Linked DNA regions of Saccharomyces cerevisiae S288C. The protein of the gene in region 2 purifies or fractionates together with the protein of the main gene of each other region. This does not show direct contact. Each region holds a gene or a part of one and is shown on either strand. Other genes may lie near its edges.

What was found.
Region 1: the proteins of ENT3 (region 2) and CLC1 purify together in Saccharomyces cerevisiae (affinity purification with western blotting; 2 studies listed by BioGRID, with this or other methods). This does not show direct contact.

The regions. Positions count from the first base shown.
Region 1 is NC_001139.9:830,745-839,349, reverse strand, and holds CLC1 (clathrin light chain CLC1), read right to left. Parts: upstream 6,895-8,605; coding exon 6,193-6,894; downstream 1-6,192. Other genes in the region: PSD2 (phosphatidylserine decarboxylase 2), read right to left, coding at 1-2,208; LSO2 (Lso2p), read left to right, coding at 2,685-2,963; pseudouridine synthase PUS6, read left to right, coding at 3,447-4,661; PEX35 (Pex35p), read left to right, coding at 4,868-5,998; TRS65 (Trs65p), read right to left, coding at 7,153-8,605. UniProt on the Saccharomyces cerevisiae protein: Clathrin is the major protein of the polyhedral coat of coated pits and vesicles. In yeast, it is involved in the retention of proteins in an intracellular membrane compartment, presumably the trans-Golgi. The yeast light chain is important for cell growth.
Region 2 is NC_001142.9:651,086-663,131, forward strand, and holds ENT3 (Ent3p), read right to left. Parts: upstream 4,879-12,046; coding exon 3,652-4,878; downstream 1-3,651. Other genes in the region: IBA57 (Iba57p), read left to right, coding at 1-184; 40S ribosomal protein uS7 RPS5, read left to right, coding at 816-1,493; YJR124C (uncharacterized protein), read right to left, coding at 1,807-3,153; VPS70 (putative zinc metalloprotease), read right to left, coding at 5,169-7,604; RSF2 (Rsf2p), read right to left, coding at 7,832-11,974; YJR128W (uncharacterized protein), read left to right, coding at 11,836-12,046. UniProt on the Saccharomyces cerevisiae protein: Involved in the recruitment of clathrin to the Golgi network and endosomes to form clathrin coated vesicles. Plays a role in the trafficking of clathrin between the Golgi network and endosomes.

The DNA.
Region 1 (8,605 bases), on a different chromosome or scaffold from region 2:
CAAGTCATTTTCTAGAACCAGTTTAGAACGTCTAGCATTTCTAGTTGGTTTGCATGAACGCATGCATCTAGGACATGTCCAGATGCGTTTAAAATTAGTGGATTTTCTCCATGACTGTAGCCCTTCAACTAATTGTGATCTAGTAATGCTCTGGCCGGCCCAAGCAGATTTATTGAAATGCTGAAAGAGTTCAAAAGAATCGGCCATCGTGAATGAACCAAGACGTTCAAGATAGAGCATTACTTGAATAATGTCGAGTCTCTCTAAGTTGACTGATGTGTCAACAGCTTCTTTCCAAAAGCTCTTTTTTAAGAACGGATATGAAACATATTTGAAGCTCGAATATAATACCGGTTGCTTAGGAGCATGTGCTGGCTCAACAGTGAGATCCAATGGTATCTCATAAGGTATCCATTCGTTTTCATGTTGTTGCTGTTGCAGCATATCAAACCAAGCCAGTTCGCATTTTGCAACGTCATCATTGAATGAAAATGAGTCTTTATCAACAACTTTGATACTGAAAGCAAAATTCGTTTCATGGGGAAAAACTTCGAAAGCGGCATATTCATTAAATTCTGGGTTTAAAGTATGTTTTCTCCAAGATGTCTTGAATACTCTTCTACCAAACGAAATAACGATAAATGGATCCATTTCATAATTAGTCTTGGACAACCGATTCCTTAATGCAGGTAAATTTTTGATAGCCCCAATATGCATAAATACTACCCCCATCGCATGTTCCTTTTTCGATATAAAAAAGTTACTTTTTGCTCTTCTGTATAAGTAATTTGCATATGATTTATTATGTTTACCCCTTTGCAGGTGTAAAAGCCGACTCCCAATGTATTCTTTTGATTGAAAATCAGAATCTTCACGCTCATCCTCATTATATATATCAAACTCCTCATCACTTTCCTGTTGGTTTTCAGATTCTTCGTCATCCACTGATGTTATGTCATTTTCCGACACTGCAGGTAATTTTGCAACATCTTCTGGTTCTACGATATCATATTCATCTAAAGCTGTTATCATTGAAGATAGACTGATACGGGTATCTTCGTCGATGTCATGCACATTTATGTCTGGCACATTTGGATGATCTGCTTCTTCAAAATCATTTAGAATATCTAGTTCTTCATCATTTAGCGAAACAACCTCAGATATAGAGTCGAATATAGTATCATTGTCTATATCGTACCTCCTCTCCGTACAAATGCTGCCGCTGCTATTCATATCTTCAATAGATTCCTCAGCATCTATTTCATCCTCGGCATTGACCTCTTCATCGTGGGCTAGATCAGTATCGCTATATGGTTTCTCGCGTCGTATTTCATTTCCACTAACAGCTGAACTATTGCTCAACATATCTTCTAGTGGAGGTGGCAAAGAACTAGAAGATCTCATGCGGGCCTTATTTCTATCTATTCTGCCCAAGTAAGTGTTCAACTCATTTCTCCAAGCATTGAAAGCCTGAAAAGTCGGGGTTCTTTTAACGTTACATTCTAGCTTAAATCCAAGCAAAATATCGCCCACTAGAAAGTTGCAGTTCAAGGAATCTTGGTCTTTCCCTCCTTTCATATCGTATAGATGGTACCGCTGAGCTTCAATTGAAAATTTATAGCTCGTCGTGGTGTCCTTCCTCTTGAATAAATCCAGTAATGAAATTTTTGCTTCACCCAAATATAGATAGCTATTAATCCTATTTTTGTGTGTGGACCCGGGACCTGTTGTTGAGAGAGAAGAGGAAGAATGTGAAGGGGCCGGTGTAGCTGAAGATGATACTGAATTAATTGATGTTGAAGTTTGATTACCTTTGGACGTAACATTCAAATTTCTCGACGAATGAGAGTGAGAACTTAGCCCTGAATTTGACAGTGTCGATGAAGATGTATTTGCAGTGGTTGTCCTTGGTCTACTGGGGGTAGTAGGGGGAGCTCCGGTTGGTAGGGCGTCGTATACTATAATCCTTAACCATTCAGATGTTGGATTTCTCGGAAGTTTGATCCTCAAGGTTTGATTCCAGTGTGTATTTGAGTTCTTGAGCTTGTTCGTCTTTTGACTATAAAATGTATTAGTGGTAACAAAACATACCGGGTTACAATTGAATGTCTTCAAGGCTTCAATATTTTCAGCTTGAATGACATGAATTTTTAAAATTAGCGTTGGCTTCTTGTTCTTGCCTCGCTTTCTGCCCTTAATAATCCTCATCTTCGTCGTTGGATGCTCCTGAAAATCGAGGATTCTTTACCAATTGATACAGCATCAACCACTTTGGGCTAGTTTTAGCATCAAATTGGAATAGTTGTCATATATAAGAAGAATTCCTTGAAGTAGCACATGCGTTAGGGCTAGGATCTCAAGTTTCCAAGAGTTTGACATGTGCCCTGCTTTTTTGTCTTTCTCCTTCTTCCAAACCTCATTTTAAAGTAACATAACCTTTGTATTTTTCATATTAGCCCTTAGTTTTTTTTTACCCTAAAAAAATTTTTTTTTTTTTCTTTGAGTCGTGAAAGCTTTTTTTTTCCAGTTAAAGACCCCTCAAAATGAAAAACTTGTATAATGTTTAAAATAAAGCTGAATAAGTTGAAACTCAAGTTTATATTTAATAGGTAAAAGAATTTATCAATTGAGCACAAAACCTGCCTATACAGGAAATAATAGAATAGCAAAGAGGAAGTAAAAAGATGGGTAAAAGATTTTCAGAATCCGCCGCAAAGAAAGCAGCTGGCTTAGCAAGAAAAAGAGATCAGGCACATGCTAAACAAAGAGCACAAATGGAGCAGCTAGAAGCGGAGGAAGCTTCTAAATGGGAACAAGGTTCGAGGAAAGAGAATGCCAAAAAATTAGAGGAAGAGCAAAAAAGACAAGAAAAAGCAAGAGCTAAAAAGGAGCGCGATGCGTTGCTAACCGCAGAGGAGGAGCAACTGGGCAAGGGTGGCAAGGGTAAAAGAAAAATGAAATAAATTTGAAGAATCTTAGCCTTATAGCGGCTAATAATTGCATATGATAAAGTCATTCCCACTTTATCTCCATAAACATAAAAACGCAAGACAAATAACGACAATAAAAGTAACAGTGGTAATAATAATACTTCTGTATGAGGATGCTTATCTTTTGCGGGTTGAGTACAAAAATACACATGGTAAGAAATCACTGTTCAACGTTATAAGAATAAAGAGGGACGAGGAAGGATAATGCAAGTGTAGTTTACAGTAAAAAGAATGACTTTATGGTACTAATGGTATGAATAGTTGAAATTATGTACATTAGATTTGCATATGTATGTATATATAGCTTGCTGTCATACAAGAAGATTGATAACAATGATAAAAGTTAATGAAAAATTTACTTTTTTTCTTTCATTAAAAGGCAAATAAATGTTTCTTGTGAAAACTTTATTGACGATTGCTCGAGACAATCAGTGGGCAAAAGGATGATTGTCAAGTATGTCAACTATCAAAGTTATTGAGGTATATACACAGAATGGACTGAGAAAGGTACGGCCCTATTATAACAGAAGATCAGCGTTCGTGAAGGGGCGCTGGTTGGGTAAGTTACTAATAGACGTTCTCGTTAGTGAATTTAAACTTCGCCCAAGAGCTTATTATTTGGACCAAATAAGGAAAGGCACATATAGGTTGATCCGAGATGGTGTGCCGCTGGTACCAGATCATCTCATGACTACCATAATCAAGAATCATGATGTTTTAGAAACAACTACGCATAAGCACGAACCGCCGGTAAAACAATGGTGTAGCCAGGAAGTTGAAGCGGAGGATTTACCTGGCAGAATAGCGGGATTCAATATTGTTTTTGAAGATGAGAGTATCCTCGTCATTGATAAACCCAGTGGTATACCAGTGCATCCAACCGGTCAGTTTTACCAGAACACAATTACTGAATTACTGAAGTTACATGGTGTAGATGCTCTTCCTTGTTATCGGTTAGACAAGATCACATCAGGCTTGTTGATATTGGCCAAGAACAGTCAGAGTGCGGGGGAAATCCAGAAGAGTATTCGTTCAAGAGATATGATTAAGATCTACTTGGCAAGGGTCAAGGGAAGATTTCCTCACTCCGAATTGATATTGGACAATGAAAATGCGGCGGAAACGACTTTTGAGGACACTTCCAAAGTTACAGTGGAAATGACACCCATATATTCTATCGATCCAAAGAGACAGTTTCCAGTTGGTTTATCGACATCGAAGGATGCTATTACCAAGTTCTACCCAATAAGATACTTCTCTCATGCTGATGAAACTGTCGTCGCTTGTAAGCCAATAACTGGAAGAACACACCAAATTCGAATCCATTTAGCTAGGCTCGGTCATCCCATCGTCAACGATAGTGTTTATTGTTCGCATATTACAAAATACCCCGAAAGGCTTAAGTTTATAACTCAGTTTCCTAGATGGGAGAATCAGCAGGATTTAGATGCTGAGGAATTGAAAGTGAGGTTTCAAAAATTTGTCGATGAGACAAAAAATAATTGTCGGACAATGGAAACATTTTGTCCTGAATGTCATACTGTTGATTTAAAGGATCCTGTGCTATCAGACCTAGAATTATGGTTGCATGCTTGGAAGTATGAGGAGATTAATGGCAAATTCAAGTTCAAAACAGATTTACCAAAATGGGCACAATTGGACAATAGTTAAACTTTTTTTTGAGCGAACTTTTTTTGTATATAGTTTAGTTACCATTTCCGTACTTTGGATGTAAATTAAAATTAAAGAGAGACATTATTTTTAGTTGCGAATACATAACAGCGAATGTTCATGGGGAAAAGTTAAAAACCCTATATAAAGCACCACGAAATACACATCGCGAACAGAGCTAATGAGAGTATACACTTGCTAACTATATGAAACACAATCGTCCAAATGGTACTGGGAAAGCAGTTTCTGGCTTCAAGCAGATAATAAGAAGGCTTCTACTCCTCTTGAACAAGAAGAGAAGAAAACAACTCGTCATCATCTTGAAAAGAATAACCCAAGTCTATGGAATAAACCTAGTATTTTATGTCAAAAAATGGAAATTGAAAAAATTACAGGGTGAAAATATTCAAATAAATGATATCATGCCATGGCTAAGAGAGTCTACTATATTAGTCTTGCTGAACATACTATATCCAACTTTGATGAAGTTCCCATTTTTAAAAAATCATTATATTCACTGGTCTTCCATTGTAGGAATATCGTTAATGCTTACCAAGGGTGAGGTACCTTCGTGGATTATCGCACACTTTCTTGTGGAAGCTATAGCCTCCAAATTAAAGATCGCAAAATTAACACAATGGTTGAAAAAAAAAAATTTTTCCCAGGGTACATTAATAAAATTCCAGCAAATTCTTGTGTGTTTAGCGATTATTGTATTATTTGCCAAACTGGACAGGAGTTCGTTACCATTCCGTGTGCTTTTTGACCATAGGCCATTTTTAATAGATTTCTTCACAATCAATGCCATTTTCACAGTTTTGGCAGTATATCACAGAACATTAAAATTCTTTTTTACTTCAGGGACGAAATCAAATAAGAATGTCGGCGGCCACGAAGTCAGGAACTTTTCTCAATACCTTGGGGTCAAGAACCATAATGATTGGCCCATATCTTCATCAAATTTGAAGCATGTAATGGACAGACTAAATGAAATACATGAAGTTACAATTGATGATAATTATGCAAATATAAACGAAAAGATAATAAATTCATATTTCACCAAGGGTTTTTTTCCAAGTCTAAAATGGACTATATTAAGGCAGTGTATCGAATATTTATTCGTCACGAAAAGGCGCAGATTAATGGGCAACAAATTGCGGTGCATCGTGATGCTTCTTACATTCACCTTCGTGGATCCAACAAGTAAAATGAAAATCAGCCCATTTTTCGCAAAATTCTTTGCGAAGTCCTTGGTTAATGTTTACTTGAAAAAGTATTGGCATTGCAACTTTGGGAAATATATACTATTCTTTTTGTTTCAGCTTAGTATTATGTGATGTGTTTTTTTAGAAGAGAAGAGTTTACAAGTTTGTAAATAATCTATATTATAGTTGTCTTGATAAATGAATTTACAGTATGAATTAGTTATTTACTGAACCTATCAAGTATGATACTCATGTATGACGGGAATGATAGGGAATAAGCCCCTTCTCTTCCTTAGTTCATTATGGTTCTTATTATTCATCATCATTTAAGCACCGGGAGCCTTCGCGTTACCTTTCAATCTCAAAAGAATTTCTTTAAGCTTAGACCTGTCTCTACCCCCAATGATATCGGCATCATCTTGGTTAATTAATTGAAGTGCACGATCCCAGGTCGTATTGTCTTGACCAAAAAATTCATCTCTTTTCTTTAAGAAAGCCTCAGCTTCCTTAGCAGCATCTTCCAATTGTTGTTCCTTCTTTTTATTGTAAGAATCGTAAAAATCGTCAATATGTTTGATAGCTTCATCCTGCAATTCCTTTTTTAACTCCTCGTCCTTTAAATCCTTTTCGTGAATCTCTACAGCACGACGTTGTTTCCATTGGTCTACAACTTCAGAACGATCCTCTTTAACGGATTCTGTACTCTGATTGGCACCTTCGAATGTGGAAAAATCATCATCTGCCTCGCCATTGTCATTACCACTAGATACAGTAGCACTACCATTTTGATCGCTCGAGACTGCGCCATTTGCGGAGTTGATATCTGGAAATTGCTCTTCAAAATCCCTAATTTCGTCATCATCTTTGGCGGGGGAAGCCTCCGTTTCCAATATGTCATCCTGTTCAGTCTTGAACTCGTCTCCAAGTATCTCTGCTTCTCTTTTTAAAAAATCGGTGTCGTCATCTTTTTTGTCGTTGGGTGTGAAATCAATGTTTTGATCTTCCAAAGGAGGGAATTTCTCTGACATTATATATATATGTATCTAGTGAAACGGCGGCGTCCTTCAACTGCTCTTTTGGGTGACTCGCAACGCCTAAGTAAAGCTGTAAAACCCTTTTTCTAGCACGTATATTTTCAGTTTAGTTGTTTAATCTTCTAGGTGCCCCTTTCAGTGTAAAAAAATATGGAAGTGTTTCTATCGTGTAATGTGATGATAATAACTTTTTTATAGAAATGTTACAGATTAGTATGTAGTCTATGTTAATAAAATGTATACTTGTTCCGCTTACTGGATTAACACAGATGCGCCATTTCCAACTTCTATAAGTTCATTTGTATTTAAATCCAATACCTTAAGTCCGGAGAGAGTGCCATAATATCCGGACATAATACCAATAAATCGTAAATCCGCGAAGTATGTTTCTCTCGGAGGTACAACTGGAATTTTGTAATCGTTGGATAATAGTATAATCCCCTCCGCAATTTTTCTATATTTATTATGCAGTTGGTACTGATTTTCCAGTGTCAAGGGCGAATTGGGGATAGTCCCATTATTCATGCCACAGTTGTTTATACCATTGCTGTTACGTACGTTATTAGCTGAAGGGATTGGGTTTATTGTATTGTTATAATACACAACAAGATCCAGGGGGGATGATGACGAGTTAATGATCTGAAGCCTCATAGTAAACTTTTCGCCCTTAATAACTTTTATATTGCTATTAATAAACTTGAATTTTACATTGCTTAATTTGCTATTCACCAATGATGTAGTCGAAGCAGCTCCAAGACTAAATCTTGAGGAGGAAACCCCACCTAATCTTAGATTGGCCAAACCACCAGAATTAACGTTGTTGGCCGCACCATTAAAAGAAGCGCTATGATTGGTATTATTGTTGTTACTCGAGTATTGAGAAGATGTCGAGGAAATTGGCATAGAACGCTTCAATGTGACTTCTGTTTCCCATGATGTTCTCACAGGTAACTTCAGATTGGGATGCAGCTCGAGTTCGTACGCTAAGGTGATTTTCACACGATGTGGTTGAGTTGATTTGGGTAACAGAACCAGTTTAAAAGTAGCGCTAATGCTATCGTATGAAAATGCAGTGAGTGGCACTTTCAAAGGACAGATTGGATCTAGTTCAATTTGAGAGGTTCCGTCGATTAGTTTATACGATATTTCTTGAAAGTTCAGTTTGAGAAAAGAATTGTGTTCTTGCGGATAAATAAATTTTTTGGTCAGTTGTTCGGATGCTTTAGAAGTTTGAAAGTCTAACGATGATAATATGCAATGCTCAGATTTCAAGGAGATGTTTCTCAATCTCATATTCAAAAGTGAGAATATTGGGTATTGGAGCTTAAGAGTAAATGTATTCGGATTTCTAGAAACGTCCGCTTCGTGGACTTCGCTATTTTTAGAACTAACTCGATGAGTCGCCCTGTTATTTTTCTCCAGATGATTATTAGTATTTTTGGATGATTTGGTGGCTGCAGAAGACCAGGAATAAACTGGCTCAAAACTTGGCAAAATCTCCTCGCTAGAGTACTTATCTAATGTATACTTTGCCTGTGGATCTTGTAATGAATCCTGGTTATTGAAATTTGCATCCACAGATTTATATTCAAAGACAAATTTGATCTGATTATTATAACCATTATTCATAACAACATTTGATTTGAAAAGAATCTTCGAACAGCAGTCGTTTTTCAACCTCCATAGATTTTCATTGTTCTCAACT
Region 2 (12,046 bases):
GATTTCTAATGAAGGGCTGTATGGCGTAGCTTTACTTAGAACAGAGCATTTCTCTGCTGCCTTCTCATCTGATGAGCCAGTCGAATTTTACATTACTACAACGAAGGGTGAAAATATTAAAATAACACCTCAAAAACCATTCTGGTTTAGCGACTGGAAAAACAATAACGGGCCTCATAAATAGATTTCACGAAAACACCTTGTAAATACTACTTGTGAATATGCAAATAGGAAATAGATATATGCATACAAATAAGAAACAATGAACAGCCTTGAGTTCTCAAATTTGCATATCATTTGTTACGTAATTCCTTATCAAGACCTTTTATACAACAACACCCATATACCCATAATTATTCTTAACCCATACATATTTGTCTCAAGTTTATTTTTCAGATGAGAATGGCCCTGCATCAGTTTTTTTCCAGAAACTAATTCATGGTAACAAACATTTCGCGCCCTGCTACGGGGAAGGAGAATTCTTTTTCTCCCGCCCAGAACGTAAAGCCTTGTTTCTTTCTACCGTACTGGGCCCGTCTAATTCTGCCCCTTTGCTGGGAAATCTCCTTTGCAAGCTCCCCTACCTTCGCCGCAGGCTTAGTGGAGGTCTCACTGAACCCTTCCACCTTGGGCCAACTTCTACGCTCACGTTAGTAGGTAATGGATTATCCACAATGTGCCCATTAGTTCTAAAATATTTTGTACTTTTTATCAATACTTAAAATTTCATTTTGAATTAAAATTACTTTTTATTTTAATTACACTCCTTTCATAATACCAAGAAAAGAGACTAGAAATAACCGACCATTCCAAAGATGTCTGACACCGAAGCTCCAGTTGAAGTTCAAGAAGATTTCGAAGTTGTTGAAGAATTCACCCCAGTCGTCTTGGCTACTCCAATTCCAGAAGAAGTCCAACAAGCTCAAACCGAGATTAAGTTGTTCAACAAATGGTCTTTTGAAGAAGTTGAAGTTAAGGATGCTTCTTTGGTTGACTACGTTCAAGTTAGACAACCAATCTTTGTTGCTCACACCGCTGGTCGTTACGCCAACAAGAGATTCAGAAAGGCTCAATGTCCAATCATTGAAAGATTGACCAACTCCTTGATGATGAACGGTAGAAACAACGGTAAGAAATTAAAGGCTGTTAGAATCATCAAGCACACTTTGGACATCATCAATGTCTTGACTGACCAAAACCCAATCCAAGTTGTTGTTGACGCTATCACCAACACTGGTCCAAGAGAAGACACCACCAGAGTCGGTGGTGGTGGTGCTGCTAGACGTCAAGCTGTCGATGTTTCTCCATTGAGAAGAGTTAACCAAGCTATTGCTTTGTTGACCATTGGTGCCAGAGAAGCTGCTTTCAGAAACATCAAGACCATTGCTGAAACTTTGGCCGAAGAATTGATCAATGCTGCTAAGGGTTCCTCTACTTCTTACGCTATCAAGAAGAAGGATGAATTGGAACGTGTTGCCAAGTCTAACCGTTAAGAAGCTAAAAAAAGTGAAAGATTTTCAATATTACATATGTTTTTCTTATTATTACTTTTATCTTCTTTGTACACTCTATTGTTTAAATTTATAACATAATACAATCTTATCTTTTGATGTAAAAAAAAATAGGACTATCAATTTTTAAATAATATATCTTACGCAAATCTATCAAGTAAATATAAATGCTATTGGTTGTACTTCCTCGTGTGTCAGATACTTTAACTGGGTACTATTTACATTGTCTCTAAACGTAACGTTTCCTTGAAATGATCTACACATGTTTCTAAGTCACTCTACATTTGCTGCTGCATTAATGGCGGTTCATTTGCTTTTTAATTTTAGCGTCCACTCCTAAAAACATGCATGCCAGTATTAGATCCGCCGTTATCACCAAGGACCCACTAATGATGTAACATAGCCATAAATAATTATTGTTAGCAAGTATACCCGTGAATATTGGACCAACACACCGAGCAAATGTCTTTCCAATGTTGACCACCCCCATAACTTTGGTTAAATCTCTTGGTTTGATGATATTTGTTAATAGAATTTGCCTTGGTGTAACGTCCATGGCAGTTGTTGCAAAATGCAGATTCAAAAACAAAATAGATAAGGGCAAGTAATTCTTGGCCATAGGGATGAGAATAGAAAATATCCCTGATGGAATTTGGACCAATAGTGTGGCTCTTACTGGGCCAAAACATCTGGCAATTATTGATGATGGGATGGTGGAAGATGCCATAACCAGTTGCGTGATGAAAAATAAAGTACCCAACGCCAGAGATCCCATCAAAAATTGCTTACTATAGTAGTAAACCATCCAGCCACTTGTCATAAACCCGGACCCGAGAGAGTCGACCATGAAGATTACTAACAATTTCATCAAAACCGAAACGGTCTCCTTAGATAGTTTGTTGGATCTTTCTTCTGGGTGAGTTGCTTGTCTCATTAATGGTGCAGTTTCATCGTTAACGTCCAATGGTTCAGCTGTTTCTTCATTGCAATCTGTATGTTCATAATGCCCGTCCAATTCTGTAGCATCTGATAATAAGAGCATGATGACCATTTTGCAAAAGGCGAAGAAGGCATACAGTAAGAAAACTAATTTATAACATTGCAAATCAGTAGCAGCTAAACCAGTTCTTTTCAAAAGATCTACAAATATACCACAAATTATTGCACCTAGAGCGCTTCCAATTGTTCCAACCAAGGCGTGAATAGCATAAATCTCTGGTCTTGCATTATGAGGACTCAGATGTGCAATCATGGCCTCTTCTATAGATTTGAAAGGCCCGACTTCATCACTTGAAGGCGATATAACACCGAAGATAGCAAATACTAGCAAGAGGGTGAAATTTTCGCTAAAACTGAAAACCAACCCACTTAACAACATCATTGCACAACCATAAACTAGGACTCTTCTTCGGCCCCAGGAATCCGCATACCAAGTAAGAATGTAAGAGCAAATTACATCCCCTGCCAGTGTTAATGACATAAACAGCCCAATTTTATCCTCTGTCATATTGATGGCATTTAAAAAAAGCGTCAAAACTTGATTTGTTAAACCATATGATAGAAGTCTAAGAAAGACGGACGCCCATAGTAGCTTTATGTCTCTACTTGCACACTTGAATTTAACAAAAATTTCCGGTGCCATGGTTACGTTAACTTTAGAAATATTGGTAAATCCTTCTGCAATGAGCTTTTTCGAGATGTGAAAAATTAGTAGAGTTTTCTTTCGTGCCTTTTTTTTCGGTGCGTCAACTTTAATATATAGTTATAATTGCTCTATAATGCTAGGCAAAAATAAACGAGAAGGAAGGTGAGTTTTAGTTCATTGACTAAAAATGAGCAAAAAAAGTCAGGAGTTTTTGTTTTGAAGGGCACTTCAACTCTCGAACTATGGATTTACAGTTTCTTCCTCGTCTTTTTAAGTAAAGTATTTTCAAATGACCAAAATGTAAATAAATTTGAAAAGGGCCCTTCTTTACGAAAAAAAGATCAAAAAAATGTTCACAAACTATTTCACGAAATCAAGACAAACATATAAAGGAGAAATACAGTGGAGATTAGATAGTAATGTTCGTAATACCTGTTACAAAGTACTTTCTATTGTTATAAAACATTTACATATTGTGTAAACCAATAATATCACTCAAAAGGAAAGTAAATCGATTTCTTTGGATGATGTATGGTTATTATTGGTATTCTGTTCTTGTTGAACAGCTCCACCATGCATTTCACCAAATTCGTCATCATCATCTTGATCTGTACTTAGTGCAGTTGTGCTATTAGATACAGGATTAGAGGCAGCGGCTTTCGCTTGGGATGCTTTAGGAGCACTAGGTGCTTCTGCAGATGCCTTTGCAGTTGAAAAGAGAGAGCTAAAAGGATCTACTTTTTTAGGTTCCGCAATAGCTGGGGTAATCTTGCCTTGGTCGGTAGTGGAGCTGTTATAAAAAGGCATTGAACTCGTGGTGGCGGGCATACCCTCAATTGGGCTCGTGTTTAGCAAGTTAAACGAATTAGCAGGGTTGGTAACAGGGACGGCGCTTTGAAATTCTGAAAACTCGTCATCATCGTCCTCTTCTTCGTCCGCCTTCTTTTCATCTTCTTGTATGAGTTCTTTAGATGGTTTTGAAGACTCACTAGAAAAAAAGTCAACAAAGTCCTCTGGTTCTTGTTTTCCTTGCCCAGGAGTAGATGTGGCTCTCGAGGCATTATCGTTATATCCATTTTGACTAAAAGAACCATCTTCGTTATCTTCATTGTCACTATCGAAATCAGCACTCACGCTAATGCCGTGCACTTTCGTTGACGTGAAACCTGCCTTCGAATTCAAACTGCCATCAGCAGAGGCAGATCCTCCAGCAACGCCCTTGTACTTCTTTGCCGTTTCTCTTGCCTTTTTTCTTTCTGCGCGTATCTTATTATCGTCGCTCAATAATTCAATCAAAGCTTTGACCCTAGTTCTGACATTAATTCCTTGATCTCTTCCCTGGGAATCAATATAGTGAAAAGTTTCTAAAATCCTAATTAAGTTAATGCTATTCCTTGTATCATCGATAAACCTTTCAGAACCGTGTTTGATAAGGTAATCGAGCAATTGCAAGGCTTTATAAATTTGCCTCCACTCACTACCTGCCTTTTCAGTGAACCTTCTGAATATCATGGACAAAATTTCTTCTCTTTCCCTGAAATTGTAAGTTCCTTGAGAAATCTGGTCCATTAAAGTGGATGAGGCACCCCAAGGCTCGTTGTTTGTCGCTTCACGAACTTTCCCCTCCATCTCAGTATAATTGAAAACAACATTTTGAGCTTTACGAAAATATTTCTTGGCGTCATATAATGACATGTTGGCTAATGTATCCTCTAAACTCATTCTTCCTAACACTAATTAACGATGTGATCTCCTATCGACGTCCCTACACCTTCCTGAATTGGTAATTTTTGCTTTCCTCAAATAACTGTATCTACAAATCATTTCATGATTCTTCTAGTCCCCTTTTACTTTTCCTAATCACCTCGCACAACGTACGGTGTGACATGTATAAGAAATTGAAGCCATGTTTATAGAGTATATACAAAAAAGCCTCTCATGGTTATTATTCAAAGTCACTCTACGTATGCAAATAAAATAAATGTATATACTGAGGTGAGGTACTTAAATGCTTATTGAAGTAAATAGCGAACGTTGCTGAATTGGCTTAGCAAAATGGTTAACCACTGAATGACCTCGTTTCTATCAATATCAGCCAATCCTTCGTGAAGGCCGGGCAAAACTTCCCCGACAGATCCCTCAAACTTACTAGGTGCTAAAAGAGAGTACTTCATCCATTCCCTGTCTTTCAGTCCTCTGTGTGTAATAAATAATTGATCAATTTGCTTTGATTTGCTATTGGATCGTTGCAGTTTAATATAGCTCTTGATTTTTTTGTAAAAAGCCCAAACAGGTAAAGCTTCCCTACACTCTTTATAGAGAATACCATTTTGTTGGTCAAATTGGATGCTATCTTCCTGTGTGGCAACTTTTAATAAGTCCAGAACCCTTTTTGCTAAGCTGTTCACTTCATCGTCCTGGGGAAATGCTGAAGATAGATTAGAGTGCCATGCGATATACCAGTTATATATTTTCTTCAGGTAAACATGTGTATTGAATCTTGCCAGTTCGTTTTCACTCAGCATCAGCGTTGTCAAACCTACAAACATGGCCATGGTGTTGTGTAACTTGTAGTCAGAATTGGTAAATTTTTCCAACCAAGTTGGGCTATCGAATACGGAGTTACTATGATAGACTGCGCCTGAAGTATCATTGGCATTAAACTGAAAATGTGCAGCGGGCACTCCAAGATGGTACTGAAATGAAGTGTAACTAGACAACCCATCAAGTAGAGAAATAGTGGCATTAGAAGTGTATTTCCAATGGTCGAACAATGACCAGTCTTCGTGCCCATTAAATTCCGTGAGCTTAGCAGCTTCGTATATCACGTCTTGTAAAAGTGGGTTGGCTTTACAGTGAAAATTTGTCCCAGAGATTGCATTATCTAGATTTAGGTATACCAAGGCCCTTCTCCTGAGAATCGCAGCATGAGCTTCTGCATAATCTGTAGATCCCAGAAGGCCGGATCGTTCACCATCCCAACTTATTAGTTTGATAGGACGCAGTGGCTTCCAACCATGCTTAAGTAATTTACTCATTCCTCGTGCAATTTCTAAAAGAATAGCGCTGCCACTATTTGCATCACCGGCGCTACTCGAGGCGAGCGAATCCCTATGAGCTCCGATAATAATCTCCCCCTCAGTGAATATACCAGGGATACTAACCTCTACACTACTCATTTCCTTGATGTTGTAAGTTAGCTCATTATGCAAATGGACTTTATCGATAGAGCTTGAAGGTCCAGTGAATGATCCAAAATCTTTTATATTACTACCGGGCCCAATTTGAAAACCCCTGCCATTCAATCTTTCTAAAATTGGTTGGACATCTCTAGCACTCATCGGCACCGATGGTATCCTCGGCACTCTCCCTACCGGTGACATATGTTCAGTGTCGGAATCCTTGGAGGGATACCCTGGAGTTGTCGGATCTCCTGGAGTGTCACTGAAATAGTTTACAGAATCTCTCCTAATATAACTTGGGTTTCTTGCTGGTCCATAAGGATAGTGTAAAAACCCATTTTCCTCAGTAACTTTACCATCGTCAAATGGGTCTGTATATATAATGACACTGGAAGCGCCATAAAGTTCTGCATTCTTTACCTTTAATCCAGGTAATATTTTACCCGATCGTACGATGTGGATTTTATCTTCAATATCAATGTTTTTCTTCAAAAGTAGCTTGTAATCACTGATGCTACCATAATTGCAAAACACGTATCGAGCAGTTACACTTCCATTTTTTGAATATTGATGGAAACCCTTTTGCCTTTTCCTAGCGTGAGAAGCAGGATCACCTTTAACTCTATCCTCGATCATGCTTGCTTCGTAGACCACTTTACCATTTTCTAAAGGAGCTACGTTAGTGTCTACTGGTTCACCTATCCATGGGTAATATTTTTCAACTTTGGGTTTGTACCCCATATCTAGAAACTCGTCCAAGGTATATTTAAACGTTGACGAATCACTTGCTCCGTTGCTCATGTACCCAGCATACTTGTATACATGTTCTTTCGCTCTATTTTCCTGTTGCAAGGAGTTCAAGTATATCCTATAAACCTCTGCATTCGTCAATCTGGAAGAGTGAAACCGCCGAAAGTCTCTTGATAAAGACGTCCTGGGAGCAAATGCGGCAACAAATCCCATGTACAAAAGGAGACTCGCTAGAATCAAGTACATAAACTTTTCCTTGTCCATATGTTCTTTCATTATTTCATAACCACTAACAATACTAGATATTGTATTACTTCTGCCTCTATTCCTGGATGTTAAAGTGAAAGAATCATTCATGCTTTCTTCATTGTCATCGCGAGTGGTCTCGCCACTATATTGTTGTAATCCAGTGGCTTCGGCCTCATTGTCATCAGGGTCTGCCATATTAACAACAGTTCTCTCCTTTAATTGACCTTCCTCTTTCTCTCTCTTTCTCTCTCTCTGTATCATTCTCATATATCTCTTACATTCTTAATTGTGCATGTTGAAATTGTTTTAATAAGTACGGCCCCTTGCCTTGTCAAACCTTTTTACCCGGGCCATCAAACTCAAGCAAACTCCGAATGGAACAATGCCTTTTTGAAGCCTGGTGGTATATTATGAAAGTTATGATAGTTCTAAGCTTTAATTCTGTAAATACTATAGTATAGAGACGGCCGCCATTATATATTTGTAAATCGGACTTATATTCTAGTGTTTCTTTTTTTCGTAACACTATAGATAGCTCTTGATTGCAAACCATGAGCGAACGATAATATTATAGGCCAAATTGGCGCATCACCCAATATTTGAACACCCAAATATAAACATTTGGAGGATAGACTTGCCGCTACAATTAGTTGAATTGTCTCATTTATATCGGTATTCGGGTCCATGGCCCTTTGTGCTTGTTCTTCATTTAGTGCTGACAAATCTAGGGCATCCTTGTCCTGCCATCTTAAGAAATCAGTGTACGATTTCAACACATCACACTCCTTCGGTATCAAGTTCATTTGTAATCTTCTCAAAATCCTTTCTGCTTTTAGCCATAAGACACGGTCCGAAAAATCCAATAATGCTGAGTTAGGGTTGTTGGCATTGTACCCGCGTGCCCAATCCTCTACACATTTCATGTATTCCGAAATCACTAATACTGCAGTGAACATACATGTGGTCGCAAATACAGGAGTATTGAAAATTCTGCGCTTGCCCTGTTTAATGTACGTAAAAAATGAAGTCCACGCATCCACCATATTCAGTGCATACTCGGTAGCTTCCCTCAATGAACCCATGTCATAGCAAACTTCCTCCAAAGCTTTATTCATATTGGACCAATCTTTCAACCAGATTTTCTCAATAACATGTGCCAGGTCCAAACACCGTCTCATTTTGGCAAACAAATATACCGGAATTATTAACCTCATTGCTGGATTGGCGTTTATTGTTGACATGCTATTCTCGGTAGGTGTCAAGATGCCACCATTTTTCAAATAAAGGTTTTCCCAGTATTTTAACATTGTATCGATCCGTTGTCTGGAAGTCATCTTCCACTCAATATCGTCCAACTCAATGTTATTGCTATTGGTGTTGTTATTACTGATCCTTGCGTTATTTCTTTCAATAAGTATTTTCTCATGGATAGATATCAACAATGATAGACATGTACTTAACGAAACCCTAGCATTTCCGTAAAAAAAACTATCGCCTGTAGAAAGAAACCTCAAACAATTTTCATATGCCTCGTTACCATTAGACAATTCAATCAACGAAAATTTCGAATCTAACGTTATTTTGTATTGACATAATAGGTCCGACCATTCATCGGAATTTCGGCACTGATATAATTCTTCTTTATAGCATGGAACACCACATTTTAAATCGACTGAATGAAAACAGCAATCAGCACCTACCAGTGAAGAAAATAAGTTAGATATAAGTAATACCGCATGGCAAGTCCTGATACGTGACTGCGCCAATACAAAATATTGGTAGTTTTTGTTCATTTGATTCGGCGCGTTGTATTGCTCTCTTATTTTTGAAAACATATGAGGACTGTTTTCATATTCCATAATATGATCACTCTCAATAGGCGGCTGGCATAGGGACTCTAGGGGCAAATTTAAACGAGAGGCCTTCAAGAGACGAATAATAGTCGTCAACTGACCATGCATCCCCTTGATCACGGCTGTATTTTTATTGAAAATACAGTAGAACGTTAGCAATACTAATGTCTGTATAACCCATAACTCTGTCGTCTCCGGGTTTTTCTCACTAACTTTCAAGCTTTTCCTAATTTGGGTGCTAGCTGCATTAGCTAACACTTTTGCATGCGTCGAATGAAACCCATACAATGCTCCGACCATGGAGATAGATAATAACAAGGGATAACTGTCCATATTAGGTATGATAGAAGGAAGATGAATAAATGAAAAAAATGGATGGAATTCTTCCTTATAGTAAGTCACATAATCGTTCAATTGACTAGTTGTGGGGAAGGCTCCTGAATCGATATTATTGTCGGCTAGCATCATACTCCTTAGCTCATTGGTAAAAAGCACTTGAGATACTGAAGGGACAGAAAACGGAGATAACAAATCCGAAGGAGTAAGAACAGGCAGCTGTTTCTGTGTTGCATTAGAATCAGTTTCGCCGGGGAAAGACAAAGTGAGAACATCGTCGTTCACATGAGAATTATTTTGCTCTGTCCCGTTTAATACCTTGGAAATATCCAATTGCCTTGAGCTGAAAAAATTGGATAGATCGTAGTCCATCATGACGCTATCACGACGCCTCTTATGAGAACTATGGGAAATAGGGTCAGAATAGGAAGGCTCCTTTAGTTGGTTTTGTGGTGTACTTGGTAAATCTGTGCTTCCATTCAAACTCAAGTTTAAGCGAGGTGATAAAGAAGCTTTTTCATGATTTAATGAGGTAGCAGAATGGTTTGGAGGTGACTTGTTTGGTATAGATGACCTTGATGAAGGTGGAGAATAAATAAACCCAATGTCATTGAAATGATTGAAGTTGATCTTGAAGGTAGATTTTGGATCAGAGTTGTTAATAAACTCTGATAACCACTTGTCATCTATGGCAGCAGGATCGATATTACTATCCTTATCATTGGGCTCCATTGATGGTTCCAGTAAATTATTTGTGCCTGGATTGAAATTGATCGTGGAAGAGGAATCTGAAACAGTTGTTGGTGGGTTTTTAGGAGATAGTGACATAAGCGGCTGCTCATTGCTCATTTGCCTATAAGTTTGATTTGCCAAATTACTGTAACTATTAGAAGCCGTAGTAGAATTAGACGGTATAGTATTCGGGAAGCTTGACGGAAGGTTAAATTCAGAAACTGTCGGTTTATCATGACTGAAGCAGCCCAAATCAAATGGCGAATGGTGGCTAGACATGTATCCTCCCGCACCTGCATGTGCAGAGTTCATTGTCAAAAGATCGGTTAAAGATGGACCGCTACTTAAGAGATACACTCCAGGTGTAGCAACTGTACTTCCATTGTTGCTGTTCACTATGGTACTAGAGGTGGAATTTTGCTGTTGTTGTTGTTGTTGTTGTTGCTGTCCGGAGGGGTCATTGTTAAATAGATTTAAGTTAAACTTGATAGCTTGCGGTGGTTCGTCCAGGGTTAACGGAGGTAAATCCAATTCTGACACGCTTTCCATGAGCTGCTTCGCGGTCATTTGTGGAGTAGAAAAGCCGACTTGATGCGGAGCGTCTTCAACGAGCTCGAAATTGGTAATTGAATGGTGGGGGCTATTGCTACTAGACATGTAAGTCATTGCACTGGATGCAGAGAAAGACGCATGTCTTTTCGTCTTATGCATGGAAGAGGGAGTGTTCGCCCTGTCGATAACAGCATCGCTTGATGCAGAGTGAACTGGCACGCCTTTCGTGCTGAACTTGAACTCTCGAAATCCTAGGGAGCCTGCCTTACTAGGAGGAGTTTTCTCTCGCTTATCGTTCATTACTGGGGCCGAGACGGGAAGTTCTACATTATTTGATTTGGCCAAGGCAACCACGGCCTCTTTCAATTCTTCAGATGTCTTACCAGCAAGGTTCTTCGGGGTGGGTAGAATAGTCTCTTTATTTCCGGCTATTTTAATGATATGAAGGTCGGTTGGATCATCCGCCGCCACGGAATGGCGCCGCTTGGAGGCAAAAGAAGAAGTCGAATTTGGTGCTGGCGTCATTCGCCGTGGATCCCCCGTACCTACAAGAGCAGCATGAAGTTTTTGCTGATGCCTGAGCACTAAATCTCTACGAGCAAAACACCTACCGCAAAAGATACAAAGATACGGTTTCTCACGGGTATGCGAATGCTGATGTCTCTTCAAATGCTCCTGCCTGACAAAACCCCTAGTGCATGTGGGACACAAGAACGGTCTTGGCTTATCAGTCTTAATAATTCGAGATTTTTTAGGAATGGGCAGAATACCTTGACCAGCGGGCTTAGCGAAATTAGATTGATTACCGTTCACAAACATACTTGGCTCCGGCACTAATAAAAAATCTTTATCTGCCCTATCTATTCTAGTATCGCCAATGTCTTTTAGCTTCTTCGCCCTAAAGTTTCTTTTTGGTGCAAGAGTCTTCGAGAAAAACGTGTGTTGAGAGAGGCAATGTTTAACGAAGAAAAAAAACTCTATGGAAATCCAAGAAGTCCTTGTTTCTTTGTTTTCGTTTCTAATATATGCAGGGTCAAGCGGGAAAAAGAAAGACAGACGGAAAAGTGCCCAGCAACACGGAACAAAATTGTCCAGATTTATTCGAGCGGCCGCGGTTAGTATGCATAATGCAGGCGCCCCTCGTCCAAATGCGAACGGTTCCATCCGAAACAGGCCATTTCCCAAAAATTATTTCTCTTAATAGAAGTTGCTCGCGTAGTTACCTATTGTCGATGC